Daphnia pulex: one gene and its partner. The protein of the gene in region 2 interacts with the protein of the main gene of each other region in a pairwise test. Links are inferred from orthologs where the notes say so. Each region holds a gene or a part of one and is shown on either strand. Other genes may lie near its edges.

Evidence for each region.
Region 1: the proteins of zinc finger protein GLI2-like (region 2) and importin subunit alpha-3-like interact in a two-hybrid assay, tested with the Drosophila melanogaster proteins (2 studies listed by BioGRID). The link is inferred for Daphnia pulex from reciprocal best matches to the Drosophila melanogaster genes ci and Kap-alpha3.

What each region holds. Positions count from the first base shown.
Region 1 is NC_060026.1:3,869,623-3,873,381, reverse strand, and holds the start of importin subunit alpha-3-like, read right to left. Parts: upstream 2,513-3,759; 5' UTR 2,347-2,512; coding exon 2,278-2,346; intron 2,163-2,277; coding exon 2,060-2,162; intron 1,727-2,059; coding exon 1,522-1,726; intron 1,447-1,521; coding exon 1,377-1,446; intron 1,305-1,376; coding exon 987-1,304; intron 922-986; coding exon 796-921; intron 719-795; coding exon 584-718; intron 508-583; coding exon 403-507; intron 326-402; coding exon 185-325; intron 123-184; coding exon 23-122; intron 1-22. Other genes in the region: divergent protein kinase domain 2A-like, read left to right, coding at 2,738-3,178, 3,337-3,756.
Region 2 is NC_060017.1:6,877,398-6,880,775, forward strand, and holds the end of zinc finger protein GLI2-like, read left to right. Parts: coding exon 1-396; intron 397-466; coding exon 467-2,110; 3' UTR 2,111-2,872; downstream 2,873-3,378. Other genes in the region: complex III assembly factor LYRM7-like, read right to left, coding at 2,925-2,980, 3,053-3,134, 3,198-3,268, 3,357-3,378. UniProt on the Drosophila melanogaster protein: Has a dual function as a transcriptional activator and a repressor of the hedgehog (Hh) pathway. The full-length ci form (ciFL), acts as an activator (ciA) while ciR, its C-terminally truncated form, acts as a repressor. Involved in segment polarity.

The DNA of each region.
Region 1 (3,759 bases), on a different chromosome or scaffold from region 2:
TATTTATGTAACTTCACAATACCTCCGCACTCTTCTATCAAAGTCGCAACGGAATCTCTTTCCTGACCCGGTGCAGCCATGCGCAGAACGTTCGAAATGCCGTCCAAAACAACTTGAATAACCTGAAATGCATTAAAATACCGGTTAGTATTGATACATATAAAATTTAAAAATCAAGTTTTACCTGGGGATCTTTACATGATAAGAGATGACAGAAAGGAGAAATAACACCACACTGAACTAGATAAGCCACTTGCTGTTTTCGTCCACTGATCGTCAGATTAGTTACAGCCCATGCAGCTTCCTTTTGTGTTTGAAATTCTCCCTGAAAACACGCCATTAAAAAAACAGAACAAATGATCATCAATAACAAAAATAATAACTTGAGTGAAATAAGTTTACCCTTGACAAATGTTGGACTATCAGTGGAACTAGCCCAGCATCAATAACAGCTTGAACTTGTTGTTGATTTCCTGCTGTTACGTTCGAAAGGAACCACAAAGCTTCCTAGTAGAGAAAAATCACAAAATGGTAAAAGTATTGGAAAAATAAAGTACAAAATAATAATAATAATATTGGTTACCTTGTTAATTTTCTCTTTATGGTGATTCAATAGAGTCTGAAAATGAGCCAGCGCGTCGCAATTCAGGACGCATTGAGTTTGTGCATCGGTACCTGTGACTATGTTGCCCACAGCTCTCAATGCAGCTGTTTGAACCTAGAATTTTAAAATTACAATTATACCATTGAAGAAAATAAAATCGAATGCCAGACTAGGCGTAAAGTAGCAATTACCTTGACATCTTTATGAGAAAGAAGAGGCACCAAGCTTGGCACCACACCATTATCGATAACCATCTGAATTTGCTCGTTCCCTCCGTCGGTCAAGTAACTAAGTGCCCAAACTGTGTCGACCAAAATCTGCGTGTAGAAATTAAAGATTTGAATTTGCCAGTTACGGAATTCCACTGATTATTTGATCTTACATTGGTGTCGGTATGATGGATCAGGGTATTAAGAGCCGGCAGCAGTTCACGAATAGTGTCAACATGAGGAGGGGGATCTTTATTGCGACAGAGGTTCACGATAACCCATGCCACATTACGAAGGAAGCTAATGGGTATTGTGTCTGTCACGAAACCCAGTAAGATTGGTACGACACCCAGACTTATAACATAGTCTCGCAAATGTGGGCCGTCGCCTATTATGTTTCCCAGTGCCCAAACGGCCTGTTCGCACACATTTGGATGAGGTGAGTGGAGAAGCATCAGAAACAGGGGAACTGCGTTCGCCTCCACAACCGCCTATTCATTAAAAATAAGTGTAATTTTTATTTTAAGTTTCTAACTGACGTACTGGATTTTTATGTCACATACTTGAGTTTGGGCAGATGTTCCAGAAGCAATATTGGTTAAAGCCCAAGCTGCTTCAAACTGGAGAGCGGCACTAAAATAATAAAATATTACAGTTATACTTTAGAGGTCTTTCTTTCGAGAATATGTTCGTTTTGCGATGTCATACTTGTCTTGGCGTTCTAAGCATTTAACAAATACTGGTAGAACTCCGCTTTGAATGAGCGCATCAATGGGTGGATTACGATCCGAAGACAGGAGCTTTCGAGCAGCTTGCACGGCTGCTAATTGGATATCAGGATCAGGACTTGATGCATTAGCAACAATCTGTTCTAAGCCCGCTAACGAAAGGCCTCTTTCTGCTTCATCCTCATCTATTGGCATTGAGATACATGATTATGTAATTTTGAATGAATGAATTAGTCATGATGTAAAATAGTTAAATTGTTCAGTTACAACACTCATTTCCCATGTATTTAATTTCAATGATGTTAATTTTTTAGATCTAATTGTAAGTGTAAATTGTCTAAATTCATCTAGCAATTTTATTAAAAACAAGCAAAGAACATTAAACTCGAAAAAACAGATGAGTCGTGTAAACACTACAAAAGTAAACGAGTGAAAAGTCAACATCAGCTTTCCCATAACAAAAAAGATTTTGTCTCTACATCAATATAAATATTCTAACAAACAATGCTAAAGTGTACCTGTAGAGTCAGTGTTAGGCACATTTCGTTTCTTGAGAAGAGTTTCCTCCCTCTTGTTTTTCCTCAGTTCTACTGTAACTTCATTCCTTCTTCTTCTCATCTCCTGTAAATATAAAAGCATCATTTAATTACACATAAGTTGAACCTCGATAACAGAGCCATATTCGACGATACAAACACAAGACCTAAAAGAAACTTAATTGTGTCATCGGCCTTACCTCCACGTCTTTGCCCTGATTCTTGTAAGTCTGCAAACGTCCTTTCGCATTATTATCGTGTGACGCCATGACTTGATTCAGTACACAAAACTTGAAAATAGTTCCACACCCACTTCCAAAAGATTTTATAACAAGTTATGATGTATAATAAAACCCAAGACAAAACTTTCAACACACAAAATCCATCGCCATCATCATGGGTGAAACACAAGTGCTATCTGTCGGCCAAAATTGCATACTAATAGTAAGTTGACATTTCTTTAAAATCAGATAATCAAACATTTTATGGAGTGAAAATTAATGAATTTAAATTTAAATTTAAAGATAAAAATACTCCTTAATTTTAACGAATAAGTTAAACATTTTTTGAGATCACACTCAGTTAGCGGCAACAAGGTGTAAATATTTTCCCAAACTGGCAATAGGTTTTAGAAATTTATCAACAATATCAAAACAAGACATGGACATGGACATGAGAAGAAGACGAAGTGATTTAGATTCTGAGAATTTTAGCTCAACGTTGAATATGCGTTTAAAATCCCAGTTATTTAAAGAAAAGTTTAGTTTCGAAATTGTTGGAAAACAACAACTATTAGATAGTGAAGAGGGCATATTGAAATATCCAAACATAAAATCTCGCTCGAGAATGAAACCGTTATTAGTGTGGGTAGTTACTCTGGGTGTTTTCTCAACTGCTCTTCTTAGATCAGCCATTCCAATATATTTGAATGTAGCAGATGAAAAGTTTCTTGAATTAAAAAAATGTCCTGCTTGCTATGGAGTTATGTTATGTCCCGCTTTCTTGATGGGTGATATTGTGCCAGAAACTTGGTCTAGATTTAAAGCAGCTCAATTGCTTAATACAAAGAATGTTTATTTTGCTACCTTCAAGGATAAACATGTAAGTTATAAAAGGCTTTTTCACTTTTAAATTATTCAAAAATTTGTGGATTTTTTTATTTTCGAATGTTTTGCAAAAGAAGACACCATTTTTGTCAGTGGCAAAACTTGAGGGTAAATGAAGGGAAAGTGATATTGGTGTTTTTATTGATTGTGCAGGTTGTTCTGAAAAAGCTTGGACATGATCCTCAGCTTGAACAGCTTGATCACCACATTCTACAACAATCTGTAGGACTTCTAAATAATCCTATTCAACAAGTCAGTGTGTCAGCAGCTGTACGCCCCTACACCCAGCAAAATGTGTGGCTTGATTGTGTTAAGGATTTCGAAGGGAATGGCAGCACTCTTGTTCACCGTTTACGAGTTTTTGATCCTTCCTCCCAAGATATTAGTAGTAATGATTTGCAGCCTTCTATTGGTCGTTTTAGAGGAAGTGACATGCTCATGTGCCCATCTCAACGTAAACTGAATTACATCGAAAATGAATTCGTTAAGAATAATTTTGGGCTTTACAGACTAACATGTCTGTATAACCTAATGACATTATTATTACTTAATTCGGAGCCGTTAATTTTTCAAGTA
Region 2 (3,378 bases):
GGCGTCCAGAACATGAACGGAGGAGTCGCTTATCCTCGCCAGAGCCAAACACCCGGAGCAGTGATGCCGTCGTACACGCAACAACCGACTCAGGGCCAGCGAGAGATGCGACGGGCGTCGGATCCAGTCCGGCCGATGGCTGCTCAAACGGCGGTTCCTCTTCCGCCACTCAACTCCGCACTGCAGAGACACCACAGCGTCAACAACGTACAACAGCAGCCGATGATGCTCCGTACAGCTACCGCCACAGGGACTAACAATCCGGCCGCCCGCGGTGTCAACGGGTATCCTCCCAACCACCCCAACAGCGGAATCGTCTTGGAAGAAGTCGGTGAGGGTCACATGGTCGAAGAGAAGCTTGTCGTTCCTGACGAAATGCTCCAGTATCTCAATCAGGTAAGAATTGAACGACTAATTAATCGATTAAAATTGTTCTCTAACGGATTTGAATTTTGTTTTTAAAAAGGTGAGCGTCAATCAAGATGGAAGAATGGCCTCTCCACGATCCTACTTTATGGGTCGAAGCCCTCGACCGGATTCGGCTCCGCACAACCAGTTCAGGGCGATGCAACAACAACACCAACAGCAACAGTTCCACCAATTTCAGCAGCAACAACAGCAGCAACAACAGCAGCAACAACAACAACAACAGCAAATGACTAATCAGTACAATCCAGCGACAATGATGGGCAGTCACAATTATCCAGGTCACCATCAGCCCAACAATACCATGGTTGGCTACAACAACGGAGCCGTCATGCACATTAGTCCGACGCCTTCCGCTCGCAATCAACTGGGAATGCAAGCCAGTCCGGCATTGGCGGCCACAGCTCCTCAGCACTTCAATGGGCCGGCCGTTTGCCATCAAGCTCAAGTTGGCCAGCCTCAAGGCCAACAGCAACAAGCTCCTGCGATGTACGGCACCTGCCCAGCTCAACAACAATCACCTGTCGTCGCCAGCGGTGTGGTGGCAGCCCAGCAAGGGCAACAACAACCAAATATGGTCGGATGTAACGTCATGCAGCCGTCAAACTACTCGCAGGCTGGAGCCAACTACGGGCCAGCCCACGCGGCCGGCGTCAATGCCATGCCTTACAACAACTACAACAACCAACAACCTGCCATGGCGATGAATAATGGCTACATGATGAATCAACAATGCGGTCATATGCAAGCCGCCCAACAACAAGCCAATCCGGTTGCCCAGGGATTCAACAATCCTTGCTCTCCGTGCACCGGCCATCATCACCAACAGCCCCAGCCCGTCTGCAACAACAATCCGGGAAACAACCAAAATTGGCAATGCGGATATCCCACCCCCAACAACATGACGCAACAACAACAGCAACACCATCAGGCGATGCCGTTCCCCCAGCAGCAACAACACAATAATGTTGCGTGGCAGAACAACGCCATGCAAGGTCCAGGAAACGGAGCGTCCAACGTCCAGGTTCCGCCGACCAATGCTCAGTCTTTGATGTACAACAACATGCAGAGCAACGCTGCGATGGCCTACAACAACTATCCTCGTCCGCCACCTTACAGCCAAGTGGCATCCGCCATTCAATGCCAAGATGTGAGCCAGTCTCAAGATTTCATCAACCGAGCTCGCGTTCAAGGAGCTGCCCAGCAGCAGGGGCCATCAGCTACCCCGGTCCAGCAGCAGCACAGCCAGCAGATTAACAACGCGGCCACAGCCGTTCCGTCTGTGGCTACCGGTGTCACAACGCCGAGTAATATGCGTCCTGAGACGTACCAGCGCACATTGGAATATGTCCAGCAGTGCCAATCTTGGTCATCGACAGGAGACGGCAACAATGGCGGACGAGCGGCTAAGGAGAACAAACCACCCCAGCAGCAACAACAACAACAACCTGGGGCTTGCGAGCCTCAAATGACCAAGACGGCCGAGACGGCCGCTGTCGGACGGGCCTTGCTTTCCCCTGGCCAGGACGCCGTTTCCAGCTCAACGGATCGACAGGAAGCGGCGGCGGCGGCGGCTGCTGCAGCTCTGTTGCCTTCCTCGGCCAACAACATGGTTGTTAACGACATGAACACTTCACTCAATTCGCTGATGCAGGAGAACCGTTTCTTGCAAATGATTCAGTAGTATAGCAACTGTTGCGTACTCTGCTTCTTCTTCTTTCTCGTTGAGTGAGTTCTAGTGCAATAAGCTGGGCAAACCGCACGCCAATCAGAGCCGACAAATTCGTCTCTTTTGGCTGGGCTCCGATGGAACAAGACTGCGTGTGAAGATCTCGCCTCAATTACTCTTTGTTTTTGTTTTTTTAATTATTATTTCTTATTTGTTCAGTGCTGCCTACGTGTCTTAATAATAATTTGAATATTCTTGTACATTAAATTGTGTTCCGTGGAGACTCAATGACGTGCGCCGAGTGCCAAAAGGGGAAGAAAAAACAATTTTGGCCGTTATTTCGTATATACTGTGTGTGTGTGTGGTTTGTGTCTCTGCCTTACTTTTGCAGCTGTTACTTCCCCCTTTTTTGGGTTTGGGAGGTGTTTTTGTGGGAGGGGAGATGTGTATATGTGTGCCTTTGCGTGTCCTTGTTTCTCGTGCCTGTTCGAATAATATTTGTTGTGATACTGCCTTTTTCGAATTAGTTTGTTTGCTCCATCAATCATATCTCCGGTGCCTTGACAGCTTAATGATTTTGCTGCAGTGCCATATCGGAGCGCCTTGGTACCATGACAGTTGTATAATGATGTGAACATCATCATATATATATATTCTCTTGAACAGCAAGATTTTTTGCATGTGGACTGGCCCAAATGGCAGCCTATGAATTGTGCTTTGTGGTACTTGAAAACTGTACTTACATGTTCAATAAAATAAACTGTATGTCTGTTGAAATGTTACAGTCTCTCTATTTTTCACAATCATATACACTAACATACATTCTAAATCATCCCCTATATGGCGTGTTGTTGTGCATAAAGGTGTCCTTTGTTATATGGAGTCCTGCCACACATAAAGAATAATAAAAGGCAATTAGATAAAGAATGAAGATCACAATCTCAAGGTATAAATTACTGAAAGTGTTTTCTTCGGTGGGGGTGACCTGCACAACACTTGTCCGTAGAATTTCCTCTGCTTGGTTTCCAAGCTTGATTAACTGCCAAAAAAATAACAGGGTATCACTTGGAATGTCGGCACGAAACGAGAATGATCAACTTACTTCTGCTATTGCTTCTTGACTTGATATTCTCTGATATTTTCGGAATTCAGAATTGATTTTCAGGCGAGCGGCTATAATGTAAATAATTAAAATTCATCAATTAACCTGATATATGACTACATTTCTTATTATTTGTCATATTTCGAAAGAAATTCCTACCATCCATGGCGACTTGATCATT